Macaca mulatta: one gene and its partners. The protein of the gene in region 1 interacts with the protein of each later gene in a biochemical or structural test. Links are inferred from orthologs where the notes say so. Each region holds a gene or a part of one and is shown in the gene's direction. Other genes may lie near its edges.

The links.
Region 2: the proteins of HSP90AA1 (region 1) and PPP5C form a complex in vitro, tested with the Homo sapiens proteins (4 studies listed by BioGRID, with this or other methods). The link is inferred for Macaca mulatta from reciprocal best matches to the Homo sapiens genes HSP90AA1 and PPP5C.
Region 3: the proteins of HSP90AA1 (region 1) and USP19 form a complex in vitro, tested with the Homo sapiens proteins (3 studies listed by BioGRID). The link is inferred for Macaca mulatta from reciprocal best matches to the Homo sapiens genes HSP90AA1 and USP19.
Region 4: the proteins of HSP90AA1 (region 1) and ST13 form a complex in vitro, tested with the Homo sapiens proteins (2 studies listed by BioGRID). The link is inferred for Macaca mulatta from reciprocal best matches to the Homo sapiens genes HSP90AA1 and ST13.
Region 5: the proteins of HSP90AA1 (region 1) and FKBP4 form a complex in vitro, tested with the Homo sapiens proteins (4 studies listed by BioGRID and IntAct). The link is inferred for Macaca mulatta from reciprocal best matches to the Homo sapiens genes HSP90AA1 and FKBP4.
Region 6: the proteins of HSP90AA1 (region 1) and HIF1A form a complex in vitro, tested with the Homo sapiens proteins (4 studies listed by BioGRID and IntAct, with this or other methods). The link is inferred for Macaca mulatta from reciprocal best matches to the Homo sapiens genes HSP90AA1 and HIF1A.
Region 7: the proteins of HSP90AA1 (region 1) and SUGT1 form a complex in vitro, tested with the Homo sapiens proteins (4 studies listed by BioGRID, with this or other methods). The link is inferred for Macaca mulatta from reciprocal best matches to the Homo sapiens genes HSP90AA1 and SUGT1.

Annotation. Positions count from the first base shown.
Region 1 is NC_133412.1:175,437,602-175,442,411, reverse strand, and holds the start of HSP90AA1 (heat shock protein HSP 90-alpha), read left to right. Parts: upstream 1-1,903; 5' UTR 1,904-1,962; intron 1,963-2,560; coding exon 2,561-2,722; intron 2,723-2,811; coding exon 2,812-3,178; intron 3,179-3,498; coding exon 3,499-3,632; intron 3,633-3,926; coding exon 3,927-4,247; intron 4,248-4,362; coding exon 4,363-4,528; intron 4,529-4,810. UniProt on the Homo sapiens protein: Molecular chaperone that promotes the maturation, structural maintenance and proper regulation of specific target proteins involved for instance in cell cycle control and signal transduction.
Region 2 is NC_133424.1:58,844,499-58,849,324, forward strand, and holds the start of PPP5C (serine/threonine-protein phosphatase 5), read left to right. Parts: upstream 1-1,598; 5' UTR 1,599-1,645; coding exon 1,646-1,766; intron 1,767-4,826. UniProt on the Homo sapiens protein: Serine/threonine-protein phosphatase that dephosphorylates a myriad of proteins involved in different signaling pathways including the kinases CSNK1E, ASK1/MAP3K5, PRKDC and RAF1, the nuclear receptors NR3C1, PPARG, ESR1 and ESR2, SMAD proteins and TAU/MAPT.
Region 3 is NC_133407.1:112,551,355-112,555,471, reverse strand, and holds part of USP19 (ubiquitin carboxyl-terminal hydrolase 19), read left to right. Parts: intron 1-212; coding exon 213-386; intron 387-549; coding exon 550-678; intron 679-764; coding exon 765-898; intron 899-974; coding exon 975-1,277; intron 1,278-1,392; coding exon 1,393-1,615; intron 1,616-1,727; coding exon 1,728-1,884; intron 1,885-1,983; coding exon 1,984-2,055; intron 2,056-2,173; coding exon 2,174-2,289; intron 2,290-2,391; coding exon 2,392-2,612; intron 2,613-2,696; coding exon 2,697-2,892; intron 2,893-2,974; coding exon 2,975-3,108; intron 3,109-3,217; coding exon 3,218-3,376; intron 3,377-3,461; coding exon 3,462-3,572; intron 3,573-4,020; coding exon 4,021-4,117. UniProt on the Homo sapiens protein: Deubiquitinating enzyme that regulates the degradation of various proteins by removing ubiquitin moieties, thereby preventing their proteasomal degradation. Stabilizes RNF123, which promotes CDKN1B degradation and contributes to cell proliferation.
Region 4 is NC_133415.1:10,710,064-10,714,292, forward strand, and holds the end of ST13 (hsc70-interacting protein), read left to right. Parts: intron 1-890; coding exon 891-1,024; intron 1,025-1,448; coding exon 1,449-1,577; 3' UTR 1,578-3,391; downstream 3,392-4,229. UniProt on the Homo sapiens protein: One HIP oligomer binds the ATPase domains of at least two HSC70 molecules dependent on activation of the HSC70 ATPase by HSP40. Stabilizes the ADP state of HSC70 that has a high affinity for substrate protein.
Region 5 is NC_133416.1:3,698,576-3,702,537, forward strand, and holds the end of FKBP4 (peptidyl-prolyl cis-trans isomerase FKBP4), read left to right. Parts: coding exon 1-1; intron 2-550; coding exon 551-790; intron 791-2,586; coding exon 2,587-2,694; 3' UTR 2,695-3,362; downstream 3,363-3,962. UniProt on the Homo sapiens protein: Immunophilin protein with PPIase and co-chaperone activities. Component of steroid receptors heterocomplexes through interaction with heat-shock protein 90 (HSP90).
Region 6 is NC_133412.1:134,833,438-134,837,554, forward strand, and holds part of HIF1A (hypoxia-inducible factor 1-alpha), read left to right. Parts: intron 1-3,195; coding exon 3,196-3,308; intron 3,309-3,950; coding exon 3,951-4,117.
Region 7 is NC_133422.1:31,923,671-31,927,787, forward strand, and holds part of SUGT1 (protein SGT1 homolog), read left to right. Parts: intron 1-23; coding exon 24-94; intron 95-2,016; coding exon 2,017-2,110; intron 2,111-3,181; coding exon 3,182-3,237; intron 3,238-3,638; coding exon 3,639-3,655; intron 3,656-4,117. UniProt on the Homo sapiens protein: May play a role in ubiquitination and subsequent proteasomal degradation of target proteins.

The DNA of each region.
Region 1 (4,810 bases):
CAGGGAGGGGCTTTGGGGCAGGTTCACTGGAGAAACGGGGAAAAATGAAGGTCCCAAAAACAAAAGACAGACTGTCAGAGCTAGGGCCCGGGATGGCTCTTCTATAAGAAATCTCAAACCCCATTGGCAATGGCAGAAACTGCGGTAGGAAAAGTTCCAAGTGAGGAGAGTGGGGACAGTGGCTGGTGGTGACAGGAAGGAAACAGGCGGAGGAGGCACTCGCCAGGGAAGACCTTGCGCCCCTTCAGCGACCTGCTCACCGCCACGCCTGCTTCCGGATTCCTCCCCGCCGGTCCCGGCTGCAGTGTAGGGAAGGCCTGGGCCGGGGGCGCCCCCCAAGGCTGCGGAACAGCTATCACGGGAGCCGGCACACACCCAGTAACCACCGCTGGGGCCCGCGCCACGTGGCTGCTAGTTTCCATCCACCCCGCTTTGTAATGCTGGGCAAGACGCTTTATGTTGATTTCACACACTCTTAAAGGGTCCCAGGCCGCAGTCTGAAAACCCCTGCTCCTGAGTAAGTTGGTTTCCCTAGAGACCAGGAAGCGGAGGTAGTTCCGTCGTTTGTTTACACGGTAAGGAGCTTCCAGATTATTCCGAGGACCTGGCTATGAGTTTAGGCAGGAGGAGGCCCAATCATGGGAGGCGCCAGAGAGGAAGAGGACATGGACGAGGCATGGGAGCCAAGTCTAAGGAACCCCAACACCTCTAAGGTTCTCATAGCTGGCCTTGACCAAAATATCTGAAAATTCTCATGTAGAAACTGGTTCTTCCAGCCTGAGCAACATGGTGAAACCCCAACTATACAAATAAATACAAAAACTAGCCGGGTGTGGTGTCCGCGCTTGTGGTCCTCCGCCCGCGCTCGTCCCAGTTACTCGGAAAGCTGAAGTAGGAGGATCACCTGAGCCCGGGAGGTCGAAGCTGCGGTGAGCCAAGATTGTGCCACAGCACCCCAGCCTGGGCGACAGAGGGACAGCCTGTCCAAAAACAAAAAAACACCAAACCTGTCTTTTAGGGAAGGTTAATCACCAAAATGTCAAGTGTTAGATACTTAATTTGGAGACCTCAAATCGATCGGCAAAACGATGGGCTTTTAAAAAGCATGCCGGGTGTAGCTGGGTAAGCATGAATTTATTCACCAAGGGCCCGATTCCCAAGCTAAGGGACCCTGAAGTGTGAAGGACATGGCTTCCGGGGAACCCAAAGGTAGGGAGCGCTCCTGAGCCAGCAGTGGGTCTGGAGACTCCCCGAGCGCGCAGGCCGCGGGACGGCGTCCCCTGCGCGCAGCAGCTAGAAGCCAACAGCCCAAAGGCCCCCAGGGAGCAGAGCCCCGCGATCCCGGCGCCGCCTGCGGCTGGATTTTTTGGCAGCGGGCGCGCCGTCCGTGAGGATGACGGCTCCGGTAGTCTCCCGGGCGTGCGAGACCCGGGGCGCTCCCCGTCCACGCACGGCCCTCCCTCCAGGCGCGCCTCCCGCCCCAGCCCCGCATTCTGCGCAGCCCGGGTGACCAAACTACACCTCACTTCAAAGGCCCCCACGCCCGGGCGTGCCCTCCGCCCGCGCTCGGCAGGTGGGAGTGCAGGGAGGAGGGCGCGGGCGGCCCCAGAAGGCGCCCGGACCTTCCCGAGAATTCCAGGCCGCGCAGGCGCATTGAGGTCGGCGCGGGGGCGTGCGAGAGGCGCGGGGCGGTGATTGAGGGAAGGTTTCCCGGGCTGGGCCATGAGCAGGGCCTGCGCGCGCCAGCGGGAGGGGCGGGCCACGGCGAGGGCGCAGGCGCAGGCGCGCGGCCGCGGCGGCGGTTGGGGAGGGTTCTTCCGGAAGGTTCGGGAGGCTTCTGGAAAAAGCGCCGCGCGCTGGGCGGGCCCGTCGCTATATAAGGCAGGCGCGGGGGCGGCGCGTCAGTTGCTTCAGCGTCTTGGTGCTGCTGTGCCGTGGAACGTTTGCAGCCTTTTAGCCAAGGTGTGAGGGGCGGTTGTGGGGGCCTGTGGAGGTGGATTGGGGAGTGGGGGCGGTTGGCGCGGAGCGGAGGCTGTGGGGGCCGAACGGGAGCCCTGAACCCGCCAGGGCCGCTCTCCCGGGAGGCCGCGCTGCCTATTCCGGAGGCCGTGGGCCCGCTGCTGTCTCCGCAGCCCGCCTCAGGAATGGGCTGGGCGGCTGCTCCCCGAGTCTCCGCGGCAGCCCCGGAGCTGGCGCCGCACGCGAGCAGAGCGGCCCTTTGGCTGGGGGCCCCCCGGGCGGCCCAGCTGGGGCGCAGGCGGAGGAGGCCGCCCTGGCGGAGCCGCGGCCCGCGCGGGAGGGCACACGGGGTGTCGGTTGGGGACCGCGGCGCGGGACTGGGCCGGGCCTGCAGTGGCCTCCCGGAAGCGCGCACACGCTCGTGGTAGTTACCGCGCTCCGAAATGAGGTCATCCTTTGTCAGCCGCCCTTCTATTTTCGGTTTACTTAAACTTCGCAAATCTGCAATCCGGCTTTAAAAATATTGGGAGGACGCGATGGAATCTCGTGTTGCCCCTGTAGACGCCCTGCAGGGTTTTAAACCGGCGCGGTGTCGTTCCAGATGCCTGAGGAAACGCAGACCCAGGACCAACCGATGGAGGAGGAGGAGGTTGAGACGTTCGCCTTTCAGGCAGAAATTGCCCAGTTGATGTCATTGATTATCAATACTTTTTATTCGAACAAAGAGATCTTTCTAAGAGAGCTAATTTCAAATTCATCAGATGTAAGTCGTTTATTAACCCAGAATAGGATTTTGGTTTCAATATGAACTTCTTGGGGGCTGTATGCTTAATTAATATTTTGTGTTAATAGGCATTGGACAAAATCCGCTATGAGAGCTTGACGGATCCCAGTAAATTAGACTCTGGGAAAGAGCTGCATATTAACCTGATACCAAATAAACAAGATCGAACCCTCACTATTGTGGATACTGGAATTGGGATGACCAAGGCTGACTTGATCAATAACCTTGGTACTATCGCCAAGTCTGGGACCAAAGCGTTCATGGAAGCTTTGCAGGCTGGTGCAGATATCTCCATGATTGGCCAGTTCGGTGTTGGTTTTTATTCTGCTTATTTGGTTGCTGAGAAAGTAACTGTGATCACCAAACATAACGATGATGAGCAGTACGCCTGGGAGTCCTCAGCAGGGGGATCATTTACAGTGAGGACAGACACAGGTAGGTACCTGAACACTCACTGGTTAAGTCAGTGGCGGAATGGTGGGGTGTTGCAACCCTTGGACCCCTGGGGATGCGGCGAAGTTCACAGAAAGTGTGTTTACCCAAGGATCAGGAACAAGCTAGAGCTCTGAATTAGTGTGTAATGGCATGACTTGGTGATTACTTCTTTTGGGCAAGGCACTTAGATCTGCTGTGGGAGCCTTTGCATCTGTAGTAAGGGCAAACCTCGCTTCATAGACACGTTATAAGGGTTAAGCATGGCGTTGAGCACTAAATTGAATGTATTATTGAGTCAATTTTCCTTATTTCTCTTGCAGGTGAACCTATGGGTCGTGGAACAAAGGTTATCCTACACCTGAAAGAAGACCAAACTGAGTACTTGGAGGAACGAAGAATAAAGGAGATTGTGAAGAAACATTCTCAGTTTATTGGATATCCCATTACTCTTTTTGTAAGTTTCTACATAATTGCAGAGTGAATTACTGTCTGTAGGTGACTGGGGTGACTGTACTACATCCTTAGTTCCTAGGTCTGTTGAACTAGTTTGAAGCCTGGGGAACCTAAGCTCTACTAACTGTGAAGGTTCCTCGGGTTATTAAGTAGATATATCAAATATTGATGAGAAGCTGCCTGGCTGCTTCTCATCCTCGGTAATTTAGGCTTTGGCCTTAGGTTGAAAGTAGTGGGGCAGCGCTATGACTTAGTTCTAGAGTGCAGCAGTGATGCGATTTCATGTCTTTTGAAGGTGGAGAAGGAACGTGATAAAGAAGTCAGCGATGATGAGGCTGAAGAAAAAGAAGACAAAGAAGAAGAAAAAGAAAAAGAAGAGAAAGAGTCTGAAGACAAACCTGAAATTGAAGATGTTGGTTCTGATGAGGAAGAAGAAGAAAAGAAGGATGGTGACAAGAAGAAGAAAAAGAAGATTAAGGAGAAGTACATCGATCAAGAAGAACTCAACAAAACAAAGCCCATCTGGACCAGAAATCCCGACGATATTACTAATGAGGAGTATGGAGAATTCTACAAGAGCTTGACCAATGACTGGGAAGATCACTTGGCAGTGAAGGTGAGTGAGGGACTGATGGATGCTTCAAGCTTGTCTTTAGATTATCATCCCACCACCCCAAATATCTGCTATAATGCATTGTTCATTGATACTTAGTGTGTTTGTTCTATTACAGCATTTTTCAGTTGAAGGGCAGTTGGAATTCAGAGCCCTTCTATTTGTCCCACGACGTGCTCCTTTTGACCTGTTTGAAAACAGAAAGAAAAAGAACAACATCAAATTGTATGTACGCAGAGTTTTCATCATGGATAACTGTGAGGAGCTAATCCCTGAATATCTGAGTAAGTATAGATAGGAAAAATAATCACTGTCACTGATTAAAGAAATACTTCTGGCTGGGCATGGTGGCTCACACCTGTAATCCTAGCAGTTTGGGAACCCGGGGTGTGCGGATCACTTGAGGTCAGGAGTTCAAGACAAGCCTGGCCAACATGGTGAAACTCCATCTCTCCTGAAATTAGAAAAATTTGCCCGATGTGGTGGCAGGCTGAGGCATGAAAATAGCTTGAAAACCCCCCTGGGAGGCAGAGGTTGCTGTGAGCGGAGATTGCACCACTGCCTTC
Region 2 (4,826 bases), on another chromosome or scaffold:
AAAGAACACAAAAGAAACATTTACTAAGCCACCAAGATGGGCTCTGGCACCTACAGAGGCAGTAGAGTGGCAATGAAGGACACAGGAAGTAGATAGGATTCCTGATCCTGGCTCTGTCACCTTCTTATGTTGTTGTGACCTTGGTCAAACACCTCTGCAAGTCTGTGTCTTTATCTGTAAAATGGGGATGATACTAATATCTGCCCTTTAGGGTGATTGTTGGTTGTGCTGGGGGCAGTGGGAGAGATGGGGATGGACTAACAAGAGGTTTGGGAGTGGAATAGATAGGTTTGGGAGTGTGCTTCCAGGAGGGTAACCAGAGCCTTACAGGACTTAGTGCTACCTGAGGGCTTAGAAAGGACAGACTGGAAGGGTGTACGGCAGATGGGGGTTGGGGAAGGGGTGGAATCTGGAGATTAGACTATTCAGCCTGAGGTTAGACTATTCAGGGTCTCCTAATCAGGAGTTTGGGTTTTCTCTTAAGGGTGCTGGGGCCATGGAAGGCTGGGAGTGAGGGTGTGCCATGGTTTTATTATGTCTTAGAAAGATCCCTCGGCCAGGTGCAGTGGCTCACTCTTGTAATCCCAGCACTTTGAGAGGCCGAGGTGGGCAGATAGCTTGAAGTCGGCAGTGAGGCCAGCCTGGCCAACGTGGTGAAACCCCGTTTCTATTAAAATACAAAAATTAACCGGGCGTGGTGGCAGGCACCTGTAATCCCAGCTACTCGGGAGGCTGAGGCAGGAGAATCGCTTGAACCCCGGGAGGCAGAGGTTGCAGTGCGCCTAGATTGCGCCACTGCACTCCAGCCTGGTCGACAGAGGGAGACTCCCTCTCAAAACAAAACAAAATAAAACCAAACCAAACCTCTAGCTGCCATGTGAAGGGTAAATGAGGGAGGCAGAGTGCATGCAATCAACGCTGTGATCTCAGACAAGAGAATCTGTAAAAAGGCAAACAGGAGAGTTTATTTGAAGATTCAGGATTTGGGAAGCTGAACACAGGAAGAAAGGGGATGGTGCAACACACTTCTGAGCCTTGCTCAGGACTTGAAATCCAGAGTGCCTTCATTTAAAAACTCAGAAACACCCTCAGGGTTGGACCTTTTTTGGCTTGAGAAGCCACCCATTTTTCAGAGATGGGTAACTGAGGCCCTAGAGAGGAAGGGAAGATTTGTTCAAGGTCACACAGGTAGCTGACAATAGGGCTTGACGCCCGGGTCCGGCTCCGCGTAGGGCATGGCGCTGCCTTGCAAAGCAGCCACACCCGCCAGCGACATTCACAACCCACCCCCCAACCCTAGAGGAGAGCAGGGAAATCCCACTTTAAGAACCGAGAAACTTTTTACAGCCTTGGAACACGGTAACTTTGGGAGCAGAGGCCACACCAGCTCTGTTTCCCCGCGCGCCCCTTCTCTCATTCCCTATTGGCTCTCTCTACCAGGGGTACCGTCCGGGGACCCTCTGGTCACCTTGTCCTCCGCGCGCTCTATGGCGAGAGGGACCTGCGCAGGCGCGTGAAGGGCCCCTTCAGGGCCCGCGCTTTACGACACTTGTGCGGCAGCGGCGGCGGCCACCCGGCGCTCCTTCGCGACGGTTCGGCCGGGTGCCGCTGGCGGCCGTTGCCAGGGTAGGGGTCGCTTTGCGGCATGGCGATGGCGGAGGGCGAGCGGACTGAGTGTGCTGAGCCCCCCCGGGACGAGCACCCGGCTGATGGCGCTCTGAAGCGGGCAGAGGAGCTCAAGACTCAGGCCAATGACTACTTCAAAGGTGCGCCCGCCTAGCAGGGAGGGTGGACAGCGGCTCAGGCCGAGGGTGCCGGGCCCGCGCGGAACCATGGCAACGCGGAGCTGCAGTCTGGGCGCGGGGCAGGCACTACCAAGTGACTGGGCGTGGGGAGGCCCAGGATGGCGCTACCAAGGGGCGACATAGGGGGCTTCGGAGAGTGATACCTAGGAGTGGCGTGCGGAGCGGGTGCTACTCAGTGGAGAGACTGAGGAGGGCGTCACCAATTGTGGGGCGAGAGGGGGACTGGAATGAGGGCGCTACCAAACGTGAGGCCTGTAGAGGGCGCTACCAGGCAGTGACATGTGGTGGGGGAGTGAGTGATGGCGCTACCAAATGGGGAGTCCTGGGGTGGGTGCCGCCAAGTGGGGAGTAGAGGAGGGACAGTCCCAATAGAGGCGGCAATCGTGGGGGTGGGGAATGGATCATTAGATGGGGGGAACAAGGAAGTAGAAGATTTGGGCTGACCGAGGAAAAGGAATGTGATGGTGGGGGCCTTGGGAGTAGGGGTGGGAATCCCCAAGAATAGTATCACTTAGAATATTGAGAAAGAGTCAAGTGTGGGGCACCCATTCATTCATTAATTCAACAAATATTTATTGAGTACCTGTTATGTGCCAAGGACTGTGCTTAACTCTAGGGATATAGCAGTGAAGGAGAGAGATGTGGTCCTGTCCTTAGCTTGTAATTTTGCAGGTGAACCAGACGTGAAAAAAAAAAAAAACATGTAAATAAGTAAAATACTTAAATTGTGATGAGTGCTTTGAAAGCAAACCAGCAGCGTGATGAAGTAGAGAATAAGGGTTGGAGGCTACTTTAGATAGGGTAGTGGGGGAAGGCCTTACTGAGCAGGAAGCATTTAAGCTGAAACTCACAGAGGAAGAACTGGAGAGGAGTGTTCCAGGGAGTTAAGGCAGCCTGTGCAAAGGCCCTGGGGTGGGGAATGAAAGGACACTGGCATGGCTGGGGCTTTTGCTAGTTAGCGGGAGACCAATAGCAAGATGAGATTAGGACAGAGGGCAGATCATGCAGGGTCTCCCCGAGTCATTGCAAAGAGCAGTTTGGAATTTTTTTTTTTTTTGAGACGGAGTTTCACTCGTGTTGCCCAGGCCAGAGTGCAATGGCGCAATCTCAGCTCACTGCAACGTCCGCCTCCCTGGTTCAAGTGATTCTCCTGCGTCAGCCTCCCGAGTGGCTGGGATTATAGATGCGCATGCACACCACCATGCCCACCTAATTTTTGTATTTTTAGTGGAGACGGGGTTTCGCTGTGTTGGCCAGGCTGGTCTCGAAACCCTGACCACAGGTGATCCGCCCACCTCAGCCTCTCAAAGTGGTGGGATTACAGGCGTGAGCCACCACTCCTGGCCCTACAGGAGGACACACTGAGTAAGTAAATGGGACAGTCTGGACTGGAGAAGAATTTGGGTGTGATCAAACTATGGTTGGGAATGGATGAGATAATCTAGTAAGAGGGTCTAGAGAGGGGACTTAGGACAGATCCCGAGTGGAAGAGGGGGAGGCTAAGGAGGACCGCTTAGTGAGGTGGAAAGGAAGCCAGGAAAGGTGTCGGGAAGGCGGAGAGAAGAGAGCGCTTATAGAACAAGGAGCTGGTGCCCTGAGTCCGATGCTGCCAAGGCGAGCACTGGCCATTGGCTTTGGCTCCGTGGATGCTGATGGTGATGTTGACAGGAGCAGTTGTTGGGGAATGACGGGGCTGGTGCAGCCAAGAGGGCGCTGAAGAGTGAATGGGAAGGGAGGGAGTGGAGAGAGCAAATGTTAAGTGTTAGGAGTATTGGTTCTGAAGAAGAGTGGAGAAATGGGGGAGGGTGGTAAGAAGTGAACGTGCGCAGGAGTTCAAGAGCAGCCTGGCCAACATGGTGAACGTCGTCTCTACTAAAAAATTAGTCGGGTGTGGTGGCACACACCTGTAGTCCCAGCTACTGGGGAGGCTGAGGCAGGAGAATCGCTTGAACCTGGGAGGCAGAGGCTGCAGTGAACCAAGATCACGTCACTGCATTCTAGACCGGGCAACAGACAGAAAAAAAAAAAAAAAACAACATGCAGTGTCAGGGGAAGATGGATTTTTTGTAAGGATGGAAGAGAGTAGAGTCCAGTAGAGATGGAGAATTGATTCTGCATGTGAGAGGGGAGACTTGCAGCAGCAAAACCCTGGAGAAGGTGGAGGTGGAAAGGATCTGGACCCCTGGAAAAGAGTTGGCCTCCAGCAGGAGCAGAAGCAAAGTATGGAGAAGTTTGATCTGGTGGGAGCCATGAGAGGGAGGTAGGACCAGTGAGAGATGAGGCCAGAGGTAGAACCTTGGAAGTCAGATTGGGGAATGTGGGTGTCATCCTGAGGGTGGTCGATGCCATGGGATGTTTCAAGAGTGGGGTGCCGTGGTTCAGTTACCATTCAGAAAAGATCCCTGGCTGCCATGCAGAGACTGGACTCCAGGGTAAGACAGGAAGGAGGCTAGATTAGTGGACAGGTGAGGGGTGGTGATCGCCAACCAGGCTGGAGGGACAGAAATAGATTCAAGAAGTGTTTCAGAGAGGAAGTGAGAGTGGCTGCCTGGAGAGAGGGTAGACGGTACTCCAGGCAGAAAAAAAAAAAAAAAAACAGGTGGCAAAGGCCCAAAGGTGAGCGGAACCTGGCATGGAGGCCGTGAGTAGGAGGCTGGAGGAGGTTACGATGAAGCTGCGGGGAGCAGATTGCACAGGGCTGTGGGAAGGAGGCAGGGCTTTCTGGGGTGGGGTGGTGGGGGGATGGGGCTCTGGGGAGCCCTGGGAGGTTCTGAGTAGGGAAAGGACACGGTCAGGTTTGTGCTTTAGGAACACCCCTCTGGTGGGGCAGGAGAAGAGACTGTGAGGCCAGGTAGAGGCTGAGCCAGGAACCTGGGTAGGAGAGGCCAGGCCAGGGCTGGGTGGGGCTGGAGGGTTAGAAGGGAGTGGCTGGATCTGAGAAATGTTCAGGAGGCTGACTTGGCAAAAGAAGCGAAGTGACTGCCAGGCTTTGGGAGCTGAGGGATCGGGAGGAGTCCTGGA
Region 3 (4,117 bases), on another chromosome or scaffold:
GCCTCTCAAAGTGCTGGGATTACAGGCATGAGCAACTGTGCCTGGCCCCCTCCTTTTTTTTTAAAAAGAGGCAGGGTCTCACTCTTGCACAGACTGGAGTGCAGTGCAGGTGTGATCGTAGCTTACTGCATCCTCAAAGTCCTGGACTCAAGTAATCCTCCTATGTCAGCCTCCCTACCATGCTTGGCTAATTTTTCTTATTTTTTTTTTAGAGACAGGGTCTCGATATGTTGCCCAGGCTGGTGTTGAACTTCTGGCCTCAGGTGATCCTTCTGCCTCAGCCTCCTGCGCAGCTGGGATCACAGGCTCATGCCACCATTCCCGGCTGTTCTTTCCTTCATTGTCAGGGTCAGCATCCACTCCTCGGGAGGAGCAGACCAAAGAGGGTCAGTTATGAATGAGCTTTTTGGGTGCTAGGGAGGGGGAGGGATCACTTACAATTTGGCTCCCATCTGAGGCAGTTTCATTAGGGCTGGGTCTCTGTTACCTGCTTATCACCATCAGGAGCTTGTGAAGACCCTCATGATCTCTTGGCTACTCCCCCTCCAGAGTTGTTGCTCGATTGGAGGCAGAGTGCAGAAGAGGTGATTGTCAAGCTTCATGTGGGAGTAGGTCCCTTGCAGCTGGAGGATGTAGATGCTGCTTTCACAGATACGGACTGTGTGGTGCGGTTTGCAGGTGTGTCCATCTGCCCTGAGCACAATAGTATGTTTGAATCTTTTGATATCTCCTATCCTACCTCATGGACCCTGCTCTGTCTCCAGGTGGTCAGCAGTGGGGTGGTGTCTTCTATGCTGAGATAAAAAGCTCTTGTGCTAAAGTGCAAACCCGCAAGGGCAGTCTCCTGCACCTGACACTGCCCAAAAAGGTGCCTATGCTCACGTGGCCCTCCCTCCTGGTGAGTTCTAGTAGTACAGGGTTGGGTAGGGATAGCCAGTGTAGTCGACAGGGCCTGACTGCTGTATCTTTGGCAGAAGAAACCTCTAGGGACCCAGGAGCTGGTGCCGGGGCTGCAGTGCCAGGAGAATGGGCAGGAACTGTCTCCCACTGCCCTGGAGCCAGGCCCTGAGCCCCACCGGGCTAAGCAGGAGGCCCGGAACCAGAAGCGGGCCCAGGGCCGTGGTGAGGTAGGCTCAGGGGCTGGCCCCGGGGCCCAGGCAGGGCCCAGCGCCAAGAGGGCTGTGCATCTCTGCAGAGGGCCAGAGGGGGAGGGGTCCAGGGATGACCCTGGACCCCGGGGTGATGCCCCACCCTTCGTGGCTGACCCGGCCACTCAGGTGAGAGTTGGGCACCTGTATGGGTGTTAGGAAATGGGGGGAAAGAGTGTGCACTGGAGTGGGAGCCACCTGGCAGAGCCCGGGCTGATTCTGCCCACAATCTTGCCATTGATAGGTTGAGGCTGATGAACAGCTTTGCATACCACCGGTGAACCCCCAAACCTGCCTCCTGGGCTCAGAGGAGAATTTAGCCCTTTTGGCAGGAGAGAAAGCAGTGTCTCCTGGGAATGACCCAGTCTCTCCAGCCATGGTCCGGAGCAGAAACTCTGGGAAAGATGACCGTGCCAAGGAGGAGATGGCAGTGGCAGCAGATGCTGCAACCTTGGTGGATGGTAAAGGTGGGGGTGGGCAGGCCTAGGTTGGGTTGCAAAGCTTGTAGGTGGTTAGGGAGTAGAGTAGCAATAGGCTGGAACCTGTCCTGGTTGGAGCTGAGCCATGGTCTCAATATAGAGCCCGAGTCGATGGTGAACCTGGCATTTGTCAAGAATGACTCGTATGAGAAGGGCCCGGATTCAGTGGTGGTGCACGTGTACGTGAAGGAGATCTGCAGGGACACCTCGAGAGTACTTTTTCGTGAGCAGGACTTCACACTCATCTTCCAGACCAGGTGGGTGGGCAGATGATGGGGCAAACAATGCCTCAGGTGGGACAGTATGTCTCATGCTCCTCCTCTTGTCCTTCCTCCTATCCTGCTGTGCCTCTGCAGGGATGGAAACTTCCTGAGGCTGCACCCAGGCTGTGGGCCCCACACCATCTTCCGTTGGCAGGTGAAGCTCAGGTGGGTGGTGCCCGGCCCCACCACTGTGCCTGTCCTACTCCCCCAGGCTCCATCTCCCTAGCTTATCTATCCTGATGCCCATTCCTCCTAAGTCCCTGAGTTCAGCCTTTTCCCACAGGAATCTGATTGAGCCAGAGCAGTGCACCTTCTGTTTCACGGCTTCTCGCATCGACATTTGCCTTCGTAAGAGGCAGAGTCAGCGCTGGGGGGGCCTGGAGGCCCCGGCTACACGAGGTCTGCACACGAGCTCCCTTCATTGCCCAGTTCCACGTGATCAGGACCCAAACCCCTGTCACGTGCTGCTAACCACCAGCCCTCTCATTCCCCCTTTTTAAGGTGCAGTGGGTGGTGCAAAGGTTGCCGTGCCGACAGGTCCAACCCCTCTGGATTCAACCCCACCAGGAGGTGCTCCCCACCCCCTGACAGGCCAGGAGGAGGCCCGGGCTATGGAGAAGGATAAATCCAAGGCACGATCTGAGGACACAGGGCTAGAGAGTGTGGCAACCCGCACACCTATGGAGCATGTAACCCCAAAGCCAGAGACACACCTGGCGTCGGTGAGAATTCTGGGATGGGAAGGACGAAGAATGGAGGTTGGAGAGTCTTGGAGCTGTTCTCTTATGTCCTCTTTGCTCCCCCAGCCCAAGCCTACATGTATGGTGCCTCCCATGCCCCACAGCCCAGTTAGTGGAGATAGCGTGGAGGAGGAGGAAGAGGAAGAGAAGAAAGTGTGTCTGCCAGGCTTCACTGGCCTTGTCAATTTAGGCAACACCTGCTTCATGAACAGCGTCATTCAGTCTCTGTCCAACACTCGGGAACTCCGGGACTTCTTCCATGGTGAGGGCAGGGCCTGGAGCCTGGGGAATGGGCAGAGAGGGTGCCTTTGTCCCTCACACCTTTGCTCCGCTACTATTCCTAGACCGCTCCTTTGAGGCTGAGATCAACTACAACAACCCACTAGGGACTGGTGGGCGTCTGGCCATTGGCTTTGCTGTGCTGCTTCGGGCGCTGTGGAAGGGCACCCACCATGCCTTCCAGCCTTCCAAGTTGAAGGTAATCTGTGACCACTGTCACCCTTGGCTGCAGGGGGCGGGGAGGGCCAGCTAACCGGTGTGCAGTGGGTGCTAGGGCTTTGTGTTCACACTTTGGCTCCTGTATCCAGGCCATTGTGGCGAGTAAGGCCAGCCAGTTCACAGGCTATGCGCAGCATGATGCCCAGGAGTTCATGGCTTTCCTGCTGGATGGGCTGCACGAGGACCTGAATCGCATTCAGAACAAGCCCTACACAGAGACCGTGGACTCAGATGGGCGGCCCGATGAGGTCAGGGTTAGGGACAGAGGGTGGGCATGTCTCATGAGCATCCCAGCCCCCAGGCCTCTTTGGTTCTCACCACTCTGCCTCTCAGGTGGTAGCCGAGGAAGCATGGCAGCGGCACAAGATGAGGAATGACTCTTTCATCGTGGACCTATTTCAGGGGCAGTACAAGTCGAAGCTGGTGTGCCCTGTGTGTGCCAAGGTGTGATGGGCTCCCCTGGAAAGAGGCCCTCTATTCTGATCATGTTAGGTTCAGAGGCATGTGCATCTTAAGGTTTGGGCGAAGAAGTTGGCAGGGAGGCCTTAGGATTCTATATGGGCTGAAGAGCCCACTTAGGTAGGCTTCCTGACTGAGGGAAAAGTGATGTTAGAGCTCAGAGGTGTTGTGGCAGGGTTGTGGGCACATGGGGTGCAAGTGTGAGGCAAATTCGTAAAGTGGCTAAGCTGAGTAGGGCTTTGAGTGCCAGAAAGGAGGATTGTTATCTCCTGGTGGTCCTCCTGCCCCATCTAGTGTCCTGAAGCCTGAGAGTTTGCTGGTTGGCTGTGGAGGCCTTGAGAGCCATCAGAAGCCCTGGAATGGGCTCTTTGGGCATGAACATTTTGTCTCCCACTCTGTGTGCAGCTACCCAGTGCCACCTCTACATCCACAGGTCTCCATCACTTTTGACCCGTTTCTTTATCTGCCGGTGCCCTTGCCACAAAAGCAAAAGGTTCTCCCTGTCTTTTATTTCGCCCGAGAGCCCCACA
Region 4 (4,229 bases), on another chromosome or scaffold:
TTTTTTTAACAGTGTTATTACTAGAAAACAGTTGCTGAGCACAGTGGCTCACACTGGTAATCCCAGCATTTTGGGAGGTTGAAGCAGGCAGATCACCTGGGGTCAGGAGTTCGAGAGTGGCCCGGCCAACGTGATGAAACCCCGTCTCTACTAAAAATACAAAACTTAGGTGTAGTGGTGCGTGCCTGTAGTCTCATCTACTTGGGAGACTGAGGCAGGAGAATTGCTTAAACCCGGGAGGCAGAGGTTGCAGTCAGCCAAGATGGCACCAGTGCACTGTAGCCTGGGTGACAGAACAGGACTCTGTCTTAAGACAAACAAAAATAAAAAACTGTTATTACTAGAAAAATGCTGATCCAGGAGGTAGCAAAGTGAGATTTACAGCCTTGTTTTTGTTTTTTTTTTTTTTTTGAGACGGAGTCTCGCTCTGTCGCCCGGGCTGGAGTGCAGTGGTCGGATCTCAGCTCACTGCAAGCTCCGCCTCCCGGGTTTACGCCATTCTCCTGCCTCAGCCTCCCGAATAGCTGGGACTACAGGTGCCCGCCACCTCGCCCGGCTAGTTTTTTGTATTTTTTTTAGTAGAGACGGGGTTTCACCGTGTTAGCCAGGATGGTCTCGATCTCCTGACCTCGTGATCCGCCTGCCTCGGCCTCCCAGAGTGCTGGGATTACAGGCTTGAGCCACCGCGCCCGGCCCACAGCCTTGTTTTTTAAGAGATAATTAGAAGCTATAACTTGTGTCTTGTGTCAGTCTGATTAGAATTTTCAGACTCTTCAGACTACTTCGTGCTTAGTGGCACCCTTATTCGTTGAACCTGTGCTTTTTGTGGATGAAGTACTGTGACAGAATATTTGGGAGTATGATTAGTGTCTCTTCATTTTTTATTACAGGTGGCTTTCCTGGGGGAATGCCTGGTAGTTTTCCCGGAGGAATGCCTGGAATGGGAGGGGCCATGCCTGGAATGGCTGGAATGCCTGGACTCAATGAAATTCTTAGTGATCCAGAGGTTCTTGCAGCCATGCAGGTAAGACTTGGAAGAACTTTGGACTTTGTATCATTAAGGCAATTATTTCATAATTCTGTGTGGAGACAAAGGTTACTCTTGTAGCTATTTTTTATTTATCACAGTTATCAAATAGCTAATTATGCAGGAGTGACATTTATGTTCTTTATGCAGAGTGAGTAAATTAAATTTTTAAAACTAGGAAATACTTAGTAATGATTGGCAATTATATCCAGTTGTCCTTTTCTTTGTATCACAATTGTGCTTTTTTCATCATATAGTTCAAATGACATAATTCAGCTTGATTTTGATACTTCAAGCACTTGTCTAAACGCCATTTAACTATGACCAAATTATAGGTCTAAATAAGAGATGGAATTTAGGATAATAAACTTATTGACCCAGTAGGATACTTTTTAAATACTAACAAACCCTTTGTTTTCAGGATCCAGAAGTTATGGTGGCCTTCCAGGATGTGGCTCAGAACCCAGCAAATATGTCAAAATACCAGAGCAACCCAAAGGTTATGAATCTCATCAGTAAATTGTCAGCCAAATTTGGAGGTCAAGCGTAATGCCCTTCTGATAAATAAAGCCCTTGCTGAAGGAAAAGCAACCTAGATCACCTTATGGATGTCGCAATAATACAAACCAGTGTACCTCTGACCTTCTCATCAAGAGAGCTGGGGTGCTTTGAAGATAATCCCTACCCCTCTCCCCCAAATTCAGCTGAAGCATTTTACAGTGGTTTGCCATTAGGGTATTCATTCAGATAATGTTTTCCTACTAGGAATTACAAACTTTAAACACTTTTTAAATATTCAAAATATTTAAAACAAATTTAAAGGGTCTGTTAATTCTTATATTTTTCTTTACTGATCATTTTGGATTTTTTTTCTTTGAATTGGGCAGGGAAGATATGTATGGAAGATTATTGCTCTAATTTGAGTGAAATAAAAGTTACTAGTGCGAGGCAAACATAACTCATTTGAGGATAAAATTTGTGTTAGATATGTGGTTCCTGATGCATTTTGACTTGTCTTTTTAAATGCTTTATCTTTTTCTTTAAAGATTTATTTCAATAAAACTAATTGGGACCACCCGTATTTCAGTAGGACCTGGGTAGGGATTGGAAGTACTTAGCAGGGCAGCAGCAGTCTTGCTGTGTTTTATATAACATGCATCCTTGGGCAGGTTGCCCTTAAATCTTACACTGTGGTGAAGGGATGATTTTTTTTGTAATGCTGCAGTAGAGTTGGAGTTCTCTTCTTGTCCAGTATATCTAATAAGTGTTTCATATTATTTCCACATAAGGGAAATAAGGGAGTACTTTTCTTTTTATATTTTTACGCTTAAAATTCTCTTTCCTAGTCAAAAATTGCCCAACTCTGTGTTTGTTTTCTGCTTGTTAGGTTTTTCTCCCTTACTTTTCTTGGGCTAAAGACAGGCTTTTTCCACCAGCATCATCACTGCTATCATCATTAACAGCATAACTATACAAGCATATTTAATGCTGAGTTTAATTTAATATGTAATACATATGGTAATTGTAGGGTAATACCCACAACAACTGTAGTTTCTTACTTGGCCAAGAGAATGCTTATTTAAGTGTTAGACTTCCGTTCTGGCAAAATCTTGCCATATCAGAAGACATTGGAAAGAGGGATTCCCTTTGGTGTTTGGTCTTCTACTTAGAAAATACTTATTGCAGTTAGAGTTTATCTTGTAGTATTCATCTTTATATTCTGAAGATAATATGGTTTGAATTAAGTTGATATACACAGAGGGGAACCAATTTTTTTGATCCAATGTGAATTATAAATGAGATAATCCACAGTTATTCATTGTGGAGTTGTTGAGACTATGAAAGACTCATTGTCTTTGTATTCAGCTCTTAAATAGTGTAACCATACCCCCACCTCTGCTTGCTTTCTTTCCCTCCCCTCCGATGATAAAGAAAATGATAAATTTTCTGTTGTGCATTCAATTCTTATTTTAAATAAGACTAAGTATAGGCATTGTACCTGACATTGCTACGTTTCTACCAGTGTTTCAATTTAAAGTGCTAGTGTTTAAAAACATTTTCAAGGGATAAGACCTTCTGTATTTTGCTTATTTGAAGAATCAGTGGTAGGAGCAGTGAAGTAAATTCTATGGAGTACATTTCTAAAATCATAAATAAGTTTATTCAGGTTCTAACCCTTTGCTGTACACAAGCAGACAGAAATGCATCTGTTACATAAATGAGAAAAAGCTATTATGCTGATGGAGCATGCTGCTTAAATCCTTTAAAAACACTCACCATATAAACTTGGATTTGAGGTTGTGTGTTCTTTTTCTTAACGTGTAGAGTTCTCCTTTCTCAAAATTGCCAGTGCGTACTTGGCTTCACTGAAGAACAGTTTCTTCTGGATTCCTTATTTGATTTATTTAACCTAATTATATTCTAATATTGCAAATATTACCATAAGTGGGTAAAAGTAAAATTACTCTTCTGAAAATGTGTCCTGTGCTTTTAGATTTTTAAATTCCATAATATACATTCTTAATTTTCAACTCAATATTCTAAACTAGAAATGTTTTCTTGTACTAATGATGCTATCAGAAGGAAGTTTTTTTCTGCTTAAAAATATAGTTATGTTTCTAGCTATGTTAAAAAATACGGTTTCAAACTGGATTTTGGGCAGGTGCGGTGGCTCACGCCTGTAATACCAACACTTTGGGAGGCCGAGGCAGGCAGATCAGGAGTTTGAGACCAGCCTGGCCAACATGGCGAAATCCTGTCTCTACTAAAAAATACAAAAATTGCTGGGTGTGGTGGCTCACTCCTGTAATCCCAGCACTTTGGGAGGCCAAGGTGGGCAGATCACGAGGTCAAGAGATCAAGACCATCCTGGCCAATATGGTGAAACCCTGTCTCTACTAAAAAATACAAAAAAAACTAGCCAGGCGTGGTGGTGGGCGCCTGTAGTCCCAGCTTCTTGGGAGGCTGAGGCAGGAGAAGGGCATGAACCCAGGAAGCAGAGCTTGCAGTGAGCCGAGATTGTGCCACTGCACTCCAGCCTGGGTGACATAGCAAGACTCTGTCTCAAAAAAAAAAAAAAAAAAACACAAAATTTAGCCAGGCATGGTGTTGGGCACCTGTAATCCCAGCTACTCGGGAGGCTGAGGCAGGAGAATCACTTGAACCTGGGAGGCAGAGGTTGCAGTGAGCTGAGATCGTAAAA
Region 5 (3,962 bases), on another chromosome or scaffold:
GGTGAGGCCCCCGCAGAGGGCATGGAAGCGGCATTCACAGGCAGAGTTGAGTGCCAGCATGTCTGAAACTTCCCCTTGGTGACCAGGGCAGGGAAAGCAGCGTGGATCAGTGGGAGCTCTGAGGTTACAGGCCACAGGCCTAGATGCAAGTATTCATAGCAAGCACCTTAGCTTTAGTGGTGGGAAGCTGCTTCTGTTGGCACAGAAGTAGGAGGACACAGGGAATGGGAAGAATCACGTAAGAGTTTTCTCCCACCTTGGTTCTTAGCCTCTCCGCTTACCTACTTGCTTTATTCCAAAGTGAATGTTGACGTCTGAAGTCTTTTTATTTCATCCAAAGACCTGCTGTCTTCCCTCTCTTCCTGTTGGATTAAATGACGTTCCTTCCTAGACCTTGGATTGTTCCATTTAATGCCCCAGGCCTTGTTCTTCCTGGGGTGGAGCCAGCCATTTGCAGTCCTGCTGAGGGGTACTTTTGGAACCCAGTCTTGGCCAGATGAGCTACAAGCCCTGAGCTCCCACGATGTTGCTTCCTCCCTGCATCCTTTAGGCCCTAGAATTGGACAGCAACAATGAGAAGGGCCTCTTCCGCCGGGGAGAGGCCCACCTGGCCGTGAATGACTTTGAACTGGCACGGGCTGATTTCCAGAAGGTCCTGCAGCTCTACCCCAACAACAAAGCCGCCAAGACCCAGCTGGCTGTGTGCCAGCAGCGGATCAGAAGGCAGCTTGCCCGGGAGAAGAAGCTCTATGCCAATATGTTTGAGAGGCTGGCTGAGGAGGAGAACAAGGTGAGGATTGGGGTGGGGAACAGCGGGAATAGCATCCCTCCACGGAACCTGGCTACTGTGGGCTCTTGGTGCCTTTGGTTGTCTGTGCCGATCCCAGAAACCAAAAGTTGCCCTTTTCCCTGGAGCATTAAGGAGCATGTGTTCTCTGCTATTGGGGCCGTGTTCTGTGATCAGTGCTAGGATCCTACCCACAAGCCCCAGAAGTTGGGTTGGTTGCTCTGAGTGTAATTCCCGATTTATGTTTTCTTGTGGGCCAGGCACGGTGGCTCACACCTGCAATCCCAGCACTTTGCAGGGCCAAAGTGGGAGGATCACTTGAACCCAGTAGGTAGAGACCTCAGTGACTTATGATGGCACCACTGCACTCCATCCTGAGTGACAAAATGAGACCCTGTCTAAAAAAAAAAAAAAAAAGCTAGATGCTTTTTATGTGTGATTAAATAAATGATACATTTACGTAGTTAAATTCAAACTGTACCAGAGTATATACAGTCAAAAGTCTGCCTCCCCCACCAGAAGCAGCTGACCCTTCAGGTTCTTGTATGGTTCCAGTGTATTGCATCAGTGCACAGGCAGACATTCATGTTGCTTTCTCCCTTTCCCCTAACAAGAGGCAACGTGCTCTATCATTTGGCACATACTGTGCTTTTTTCACATGATAGTAGCTGGAGGCTTATTTTACATCAGTATTTAAAGAACTTTTACATTCTTCTTTAGGCTTACATAGTATTCCATTGTGTGGATGTGGCTTATCTTAGTCAGTCAGTCCCCTTTTAGTCTTCCAGTGTTGTTGGTGTTTTTTTTCTGAGACAGTTTCACTCTGTCACCCAGGCTGGAGTGCAGTGGCACGATCTTGGCTCACTGCAAACTCTGCCTCCTGGGTTCAAGCGATTCTCCTGCCTCAGCCTCCCGAGTAGCTGAGATTACAGGTTCCCGCCACCACACCCGGCTAATTTTTGTATTTTTAGTAGAGACGAGGTCTCACCATGTTGACCAGTCTGTCTCGAACTCCTGACTTGAGTGATCTGCCTGCCCCTGCCTCCCAAAGTGGTGGGATGACAGGTGTGAGCCACCATGCCTGGCCAGTCTTAAACAGTGTTCTAAACCAGCACTGTCCAGTAGAAATACAGTATCAACCACATGTAATTCAAAATTTTCTGGTAACCATGTTAAAAAGGTGAAAAACAAATGGAATTAAATTTTAGTTGCATTTGTGTATTTTTCAAACCATCTTCAAAATCCAATATATATTTTGCACTAAAAACACATGAGTTTGAACTAGCCACTTACAGTAGTGGCTACCATACGGGACAGTACTGCTTAGAACAGCATTGCAGTGAGTAACCTTGTGAGTTCATAATTTGTACATATATAAGTGTTTAGTTTTGTTTGAAACAGTGTCTCTTGCCCTGTCGGCCAGGCTGGAGTGCAGTGGCACAGTCTCAGCTCACTGCAACCACCACCTCCAGGGCTCAAGCAATCCTCGTCTCAACCTCTCGAGTAGCTGGGACTACAGGTGCATGCCACCACGCCCAACTAATTTTTGTAATTTTTGTTGAGCTGAGGTTTCACTGTGTTGCCCAGGCTGGTCTCAAACTCCTGGGCTCAAGCAATCTGCCCACCTCAGCCTCCCAAAGTTCTGGGATTACAGGTGTGAGCCACCAGGCCTGGCCTATACAGATATATTTTTAGGACAGATGTAGGAGAATGGGTGTATCTGTGTAATTCTGCTAGAAATTAAGTGTGTGTTTTTTCACTTGCGATGTCAGCCTCTTTGCTGTTCCTCTTCCTTGCAGGCCAAGGCAGAGGCCTCCTCAGGAGACCACCCCACTGACACAGAGATGAAGGAGGAGCAGAAGAGCAACACGGCAGGGAGCCAGTCTCAGGTGGAGACAGAAGCATAGCCCCTCTCCACCAGCCCTACTCCTGCGGCTGCCTGCCCCCAGTCTCCCCCCTCCACCCTGTTAGTTTTGTAAAAACTGAAGAATTTTGAGTGAATTAGACCTTTATTTTTCTATCTGGTTGGATGGTGGCTTTAGGGGGAAGGGGGAAAGGAGTAGGCTGGGGGATTGAGGTGGGGAATCATTTTAGCTGGTGTCACCCCCTCTTCCCTTCCCCCTTTGCACATGAACATATGTCCATCCATACATATTCATCAGAATGTTAATTTATTTTGCTCCCTCTGTTAGGTCCATTTTCCAAGGGTAGAAGAGGCAAGTGGTAGGGATGGGGTCTGATATGAACCCAGGGTGGAGAGGGAGACTCCTGGGCAGCCGTTTTCCTCATCCTTTCCCTCTCCCAGTCCATTTCCAAACGTGGCCTCCATGTGGGTGCTAGGGACATGGGAAAAACCACTGCTATGCCATTTCTTCTCTGTTCCCTTCCTCACCCCCAACGGTGTGGCTGATGTCTTCTGGTGTGATGGTGACCACCCCTTGCTCCCTGTTCTGGTATTTCCCCTGTCAGTTTCCCCTCTCAGCCAGGTTGTGTCCCGAAATCCCCTCAGCCTCTTTTCCGCACGTTGCTGAAGGTCCAGGCTTGCCTCAAGTTCCGTGCTTGAGCAATAAAGTGGAAACAATAAAACCTGGGTGTCAGACAACCCTTTTTGTTCAGCCTTGGAGGGGTGGGTATGGGTGGGTACATAATGGGTAGTGGCAAAATTAAGGGGTCACCCACTTAGTCCCAGTGGAGCTTAAATAAGTGCAGCATCTCAAGTAGACACCGTAGTTGGGCAGGAAGCAGCCCCACGATGCAGGGCTTCCTGAGCACTGCACAGGCTGCAGCTGGGACTTGAGTCTATGCACTCCCTCCCTCCAGCAACCTGGCAGTTTTTAGTGCCTCTGGTTTTCTTCCCTGACGCTTAGGAAGAGGAAAGTATCAAGATCTAGAAGACTGGGACACCATGCATATGCATTTTGAAGTTGGAATTGGTCTTCTGCCTACCTCTGATCTGGCAGAGGTATCTGTGCATTTTGGTTTCTTAACAAGGTAAAACTCCTGGTGTCACTAACCTCTGTCAGATAACTTTTACATGATTAAGGTCGAGAGTAAAGAGGGGTCATGCCCAGCTTCCTTCCCAGCCTTAACAGGAAACAGCTTGTGCTTTTTTTCTAACTATGCTTTGACCCTTAAGTCCTATGGCATGATGGGGCCCTGGGAGAAGCCAGGCAGC
Region 6 (4,117 bases), about 41 Mb from region 1:
CTCCTGTTTTTAAATTTCATATTGTGTTTTTACTGTTAATTTGGAAAACAAATGCGTACTTTTTAGAATTCTGTATAAAGGAGGAGTAAATATGCGATGAGCAAGGACCTAAGTGGGCTGTCAGTGAGTTTAATATATGAGTTCTAATGTGCAGAGTTGAGGTTTATATTGACTGCTCAGTGCTTCCCTGGGGCTAGACTATAAATGGATGGATATTAGGAAGTCTTGTTCTGATTTGGTAATGATGTTAATGCATTATTCTAAATCAGATAGTCTTAATATAGTTTAAATGTATGTTTCGAACCAAATGTTCTTTTTTAAAGCACACAAACATTTTGAAATCATTCCTAATGTGGTTATGAATTATTGATGTTCCATTGGGAAACTAAAATGCAGATTTTTCTCTTTTAGAAACTAGGGACTGTTGCAAAGCATCATATTTTAGTGATACACTGAGAGCCAGTGGTGTGTTTATAATAGGACAAACAGTCCTATTATTCTTCCGTATAAATTCTAGAAAAATGCTTTAGAATTTATAAATTATTACAAAATAAGACTTATTTTTAGAGAGTTTAAAATTTAGGGGTTTTTTTTAATGGTTTGTTGTGTTTTTTTTCCTCATTAGGAAAACACTAGTACTTTTCAGTTACCTTGATTTTTAAATTAATCTGCAGGTCCCCATTCAAAGGCCTTGGGTTCTTTTCAAAGGTCAGTATAATTCAAGCTTAGATTATGAAGGACTGAACATACCCAAAGGATTTTGCATGTGGATCTTTACTGCCACTACCACAACCATCACCACCTACGTACACACACGACACACTCATTCTCTCTCTCTCTCTCTCTCCCTCCCACACTCCCTCCCTTCCCCTCGCCTCCCACCCCCACCCTTTGCTCTCATGGCATCTTTTAAAAATATACTCTTGAATCCTTCCAGGGAGGGCAAATTCACTTCTTATCTAAGTAAACACAAGTGGCATGCATCAGTACCAGGACTGCCCATCTTGCCTAGTTCCATTATTAAATGAGTATAGGCTAGAATTCATCTTGTTCCTTAAGAGTCCAGTATTTCTAGCTAACCATGCCTACATTTAAACTTACTCTCATTTCTTTTCTACTTGACAGTGTTCTTCCAATATACTAGCATTACAATTTCTAGATTTGATTTTCTCTCCTGTCTTATTTCCATCCGTTTTCAAGTCTATTAAGATCTACCTCTTCATTTGTCTTTTACCACCATTCTTTTCACTCATACTACTGCTACTGGCTCAGCCCTCTCATTACAGTCACGTAATTCTAACATATATATTGCTGCTAAGTTAATTTTCCTTAAGTTACTGATTGTGCTTTTTAAAAGCCCCTTGTTGAATATTTAGGCAGGACTCCATGTGGACATCCACAGGCCTCCGTAGTACAGCCCTAACGTTCCCTTCTGACTTTGCCTTCCTACTCTTCTATGTGTACTTTACATTGTGGACAAACTACTATATGCAGTTTTTCAAACATGTCCTATTTTTCCTACCTCTGTGCTTTTCATTCTCTTCCTTCTCCCTGGAACCTTCTAACCCATCTCTACTTACTGACATTCTAATGTCTCTTTTTCTAAGCAGGACTTCTTGATTCCCCTTGACTAGAAGTTATTCCTCTAAGCTCTCCCTATCCTCCCTTAAAGCATTTTTATAAGTCTCAAGTACCAACTCTACATTGTGTTTTTGTTGACCTTACTATATCTACTACATTTTTAACTTCTTCAGGAAAGGTGGTGTGTCTTACTCATCTTTGTATTGCCTGCAATCTCTAGTCCAGGTTCTAAATAATAAATATTTTTATATGTGTTTTGAAGTACATTGACCAATGAAGATAAGAAATCAAGAGGCTATTTCCTTTTTTTTTTTTTTTTTTTTTTTTTTTTAGACAGTGTCTCACTTTGCCACCCAGGCTGGAGTGCAGTGGCACAATCTCAGTTCACTGCAACCTCTGCCTCCTGGGTTCAAGTGATTCTCACGCCTCAACCTCCCAAGTAGCTGGGATTATAAGCGTGCACCACCACACCTAGCTAATATTTATATTTTTAGTAGAGATGGGGTTTTACCATGATGGCCAGCATGGTCTCAAACTTCTGGCCTCAAGTGATCTTCCTGCCTCAGCCTCCAAAGTGCTGGGATTACAGGCATGAGGCATGAGCCACCATGCCCAGCAAGATGCTATTTCCTTAGTCACCTAAATATAATCTCATTTTTAGTTATAGAAGGTTTGAAATAGGAGTGAATAGACTTTACTTAATTCTGACTTTACTTTATTTCTGTAGTTTTTTTTTTTTTTTTTTTTTTTTGAGATGGATTCTCACTCTTTCGCCCAGGTTGGAGTGCAGTGGCACAGTCTCAGCTCATTGCAACCTCCGCCTCCCGGGTTCAAGTGATTCAACTGCCTCAGTCTCCCGAGTAGCTGGGATTACAGGCACCCACCATCACACCCAGCTAATTTTTGTATTTTTAGTAGAGACAGGGTTTCACCATGTTGGCCAGGCTGGTCTCGAACTCCTGACCTCAAGTGATCCTCCTGCCTCAGCCTCCCAAAGTGCTGGGATTACGGGCATGAGCCACCATGCCCTATTTCTGTAACTTTTGATAAGTCATTTGATCTGTTGTTGTTTTCTTATAGTAACAAAGTAGAAATAATTTTCTGCCTGCTTTACTAGATAAATTAAGGGGAAAAAATAAGATATGTAAAAATGTTATTTGTTATTAAAAAGAAAGTTGCTATTTTAAAGGTTCTGTAAATACATAGAGTGCTTATTAGAAATTGAGCTAACACATTCAGGAAAGAATAGGAAGAGTTTGCTGAAGTTCTTTCTTTAGGGATTCTTGTGTACCAATAGCACAGTTAAAGAGCAAACTCATACCATTTTTATATTTCTCTGTAGTTTGACTAAACTTACTTGCTTGAATGATTAACTGTTATCCCAAATACGGATTATCTTTCAGTCAACTCAGGGAATCAGAGCTACTGAGTAGTATGTGTCAGATCTCTTGGGTGTGCTGGAGTGAGTAAAAGGGGAATGAATTACTGTGTTCATGCTGAGACTTTTAATTGAACAGGTATTCAGTTGATCTAGGTGATGGGCACTTTGCTACTTTCATTGTAACAAATTTGTATATTTAGTTGCTTTAAAACTTTATTTCATGCTTTCATTAGGCCCTGTGAAAAAGGGTAAAGAACAAAACACACAGCGAAGCTTTTTTCTCAGAATGAAGTGTACCCTAACTAGCCGAGGAAGAACTATGAACATAAAGTCTGCAACATGGAAGGTAAGTGAAAATTATTTGTGATTGATGATACACTTTATTTATACATAGACATTGCAGTATTAAGATAACTTTAGAATTGTGAGGGAAGGTTTACAGTTCCTTGGTGTTTGGTTATGTAACATTTATACCTTCAACTGATTTGCATATGATTCCTAAAATCCAGAACCGTGTAGTAATTTGCCAATTTGAGGCACAAACTTAAATTAGGTGAATTGTGGCACTGGTATACTAGGCTTACCTAATCAGTTGGCTTTGCCAACCACACAATATTTGGATCCTGGTAGGGCTTAATTTTCTATTAATCATGGTTTTGTATCTTTGTTCAATGTTGAGACATAGTCATCAGTGCAAGAAATAACTATCAAACCAGCCCGGATGATGAGATGAATGAAAAAGCAGCCTAGACTTTATATGAGGGGAATTTTTTAAACAGTAATGTATAGGCCCTGGGCAGGAAGTAGGTCATGGGTGGTGGAAAAACGTTCATTGATTTTCAAAAACCTGGTTAATCCACTAGTGACAGTAAATTTTATCAAAGCTTACTGGCCATGTCACACTCAACAACTTATCTCTGCTTTTTTTTTCTTTTTCCTAGCATTGTAAAATTTTTGTTAACTGCTTTGTTTTCTTCTTCATACACAGGTATTGCACTGCACAGGCCATATTCACGTATATGATACCAACAGTAACCAACCTCAGTGTGGGTATAAGAAACCACCTATGACCTGCTTGGTGCTGATTTGTGAACCCATTCCTCACCCATCAAATATTGAAATTCCTCTAGATAGCAAGACTTTTCTCAGTCGACA
Region 7 (4,117 bases), on another chromosome or scaffold:
TTGTTTTAAATACATTCATGCAGAATATGTGAATACCATGAAAAAAACTATGCTGCTGCCCTAGAAACTTTTACAGAAGGACAAAAGTTAGATAGTAAGTATTAAAAATTATACTTTAATAAACTTATCTATTTCTGTCTTAAATACCAAAGCTGAATTTTGGTAATGTTAATTTCAGGTTAATTGTAGAAACCCAATACCTGTTTTTCTCATCTTAATTACATTTCATATTGATTGCAGATATGAGATCACTTAAAACTGATTAAATTAGCCTTTTGGCATTTAAATCACAGATGAACTTTACCATTAGAAGTAAAAAACTCTATGGAAACACTTATGCTGTCTCTACTTAGTCTGGCTTTTTTTTTTCTAATGGAGAAGTGAAAGTTTAATTTGCCTTCTTGGTCAGAAGTCTGTTCATTTTACGTTATTCAGATTGCTGAGATGTGAAATCTTAACATTAAAGGTTTTTATGGAGAAGTGAAGTGTATATTTGAATAAATTATGAGAGGGTACAGAAGAAACACAGTTTTGAGAGTATTGTGACTTTTAATGTTACATTTTTGAGGGAAATGTATGAAAAGTATCACAGTGGTAGGGATATCTGGACATACAGAAATTGTGAGAGCCAAGAATTTTTAAATCTGAAAAATACTAAGAGATTGTGAGTAATCTCAGAAAATTGGAAACTACATAATCCTACTTGTACTATCATTTTATCTTTATGTTATGATAGAGTTTTATCACATTTCTCTTAAAGAAGGGGTTCTTAACTGGAAACAATTTTGTTTCCCGGGAAACTCTGCAGTGTCTGAAGAGATTTTTGATGATCATGAATGGTGGAGGGGGATGTACTACTGACATCTAATGAGTGTAAACCAGGGGTGCTACTAAATATCCTATAATGCCCAGGAAAGTTCTACCTAACAAAGAAGTATCTGGTCCAAAATGTCGGTAGTGCTGAAAATAAGAAACTTCACTCTTAGTATTTTATGTTACATTCTTACTCTACTGTTTTGAATGTTTGCTTTTCTGTTGTGTACCTATTCAGAAAAAAGGATTTTAGCACTGACTATGCAAATGGAAGCTACAGATTAAAAAAGGAGAGGTCTGGGTGGTAAGGCTTATTCTCAAACTTGCTTATCTCAGTTTTGGTACGTGAATAATTAGGGCTATTCAGTCAGCAAACAGGGCATCTGCACTCTTAGCAAATTCTAGAGTCAAGTTATGTAGTGCTTTGATACTTAGCAAATTCTAGAGTCAAATTATGTAGTGCCTTGATACATATGTGAAAATCCTGAAGAAACATGAGTCATACCATTCTCTACATTTTCATTTTTCTTTCTTGTTTTAGCGAGCGAGGGTCTCGTTCTGTCGCCCAGGCTGGAGTGCAATGATGCGATCTCGGGTCATTGCACCCTCCACCTCCTGGGCTCAAGTGATTCTCCCACCTCAGCCTCCTGAGTAAGTGGGGCTACAGGCACATGCCACCACACCTGACTTATTTTTGCATTTTATTTTTTTCAGAGATGGGGTTTCGCCACGTTGCCCAGGCTGGTCTTGAACTCCTGGACTCAAGTGTTCTGTCTGCCTTGGCCTCCGAAAGTGCTGGGATTACAGGCACCAGCCACTGTGTCTGGCCCCTGAATTCTTTTCTTAAGATCTTAATATCATGCCATTGACATTTATTTTTTAGTTATTTCAGAGGTGGCCTTCAGAAGAGGACCTGTTTGGTAAAATTGCTATTGAGGATATTTCACTTAAAAATAAATTTGTCTTTAAATCCAGAAGACTTTTTTTGTTGTTTTTTGGGGTTTTTTTGTTTGTTTGTTTGTTTTTTGTTTCTTTTTTTGGAACGCAGTCTCACTCTGTCATCCAGGCCATAGTGCAGTAGTGTGATCTTGGCTCACTGCAACCTCTGCCTCCAGAGTTCAGGTGATTTTCCTGCCTCAGCCTCCTGAGCAGCTGGGACTACAGGCATGCACCACCATGCCTGGCTAATTTTTGTATTTTTAGTAGAGATGGGGTTTCGTCGTGTTGGCCAAGCTGGTCTCAAACTCCTGACCTCAAGTGATCCACCTGCATTGACCTCCCAAAGTGCTGGGGTTACAGCTATGAGCCACCATGCCCGGCCAAAATCTGGGAAAAAGTTAAGTTAAGCTTTTAGGCTTCTATTTTTATCAGACAGGGTAAAGAATTTTTACCTTTTCCCCTCTTTGTGTGATAAATTGGTTGGTTTTAGTTACTGATTATTTAAAATAATAGGTTACTCAAATCTAAGATTTTGATATAATAGTTCTCTGGAATACAGTGTGTGTGAGAGAGTGTATTTAGAATTTTTATTAAGGCTGGTATAGTTGAATTTCTTTTATATATTAGTAAAGTAGAAATTTTTGTTAAGAAATTTCTAACTTAAAATTTTCAAATTAATCTTCCCTGAAGTTAACTTGAATTAATAAGCTTTTCTTTAGAGTACTTTTAATATTTTTAACATATCTTACTATGTACAGTGACTGTTTAAATGTAATCATTGTTCTGTGTCTCCAGAAATGAATAATTTGTTTATGCATTCATTTACACTGTTATCTGTAAATATATAATATATCACCTATAGCCCCTCGACTGCCGTGTAACTTGGAGATATGACAAACTTCACAGAATTTAAGGATACTTAGTGTTGGTAGGAAGGGCATGGTAACAGATAAAGCCACTGAGAGAATAGTGGACTGAATAGGTATCTGCATTGAAGAGCAAGCTGGGGCTGGGAAGGCCTTTTGGACCTCAACTCAGCTCCCAGTTACCAAGCCTCCTCCCCACCCTAACTGATGGCATATTGAGAGTTTGATTTACATCTGATTTTGTTGTGTGTGTGAGGAAACTTCTTTAAGAGCAGCGAGATTGGGAGAAATGTAGATTATTTTTATCTGTGAAATTAATAAGGTTGACTGTAGTTAAAATTTTTTAAAAATCAAAATGTTACATGATGAACAACTAAATGTTAAACTATTGGTATATTCATAACTATAGAAGGGTTGGCAATAAGGTCTGTTAAGACAGATTTTGTTCACTACTGACTCCCCAGTGCCTAGAACAGTGCCTGGGATGTAGTAGGTATTCAGTAAGTATTTGTTGATTAATAGGTTGTGCAGATGAGTGATGTTATAGTCAGTTTTTTCTTTCTAGGTGCAGATGCTAATTTCAGTGTCTGGATTAAAAGGTGTCAAGAAGCTCAGAATGGTATGTGGGTCTCCCTTGGTATTTAGTTTAAAAAGAAATAAACATCTGAATTTTTTTCGGTTTAAACAAATTTGTTTTTACCTTTATAATTTCTTTTAAATAGTATATGTTTCCTTAGATGTGGACTTCCAAAGATACACTGGTTTTTGCATAGCTTCTTATGTTGAATGGGAGATTAGGGTGGATTTGTTTGTGTGGTGTATCAGTAAGAAATTACAAGGAGTCTAAGATGAGTTCAGAATGCAAAATGAAACCACTTTCTTTTGGTTAGTTTTCTTTAGTTGAAAAGTATGTAGAATTTGCTTGCTTAATCAGTATGTTTGTGCTATAGGAATCATATAAATAACTTTGCTTATAAATGCACTGTTACCTGAAAATGTTTCCTTTTTATGTTTTAATAGGCTCAGAATCTGAGGTGGTAAGTCCACAGTTTTCATTCTTCGTGATTTTATTATTTTAAATTTCAAATACCAAATATATTTGAGACAAGACTCAGGATGAGCTGTCTGATAATTAAATATTGAGTAATTTCGTTTAAGTGCTGGTTCCTCTAGGAACTGAAATAAAATCATTTTTTGATGAATATAGAAGTTTCCAGTCATGAAAATTATTGGCCTATTTTAATGAATTTAGTGTGTGGTTAAAGTTGATTTCGTGTGTTTTAGTATGGTCAGGATGATTATTTATCTTTTTGTTGCTAAAACCTTATTGCATTTATTTAGGTTAAACAGTTTGAATCACTTGAAGGGCTTTTTGTGATAGTCTAAGACAAAAGTTAAAGAAAATTGGAAATTGACAGGGTCTTGCCCTGTCATGCTGGCTGGAGTGCAGTGGTGCCATCATAGTGCACTTGAGCTTCAAACTCCTGGGCTCAAGCAGT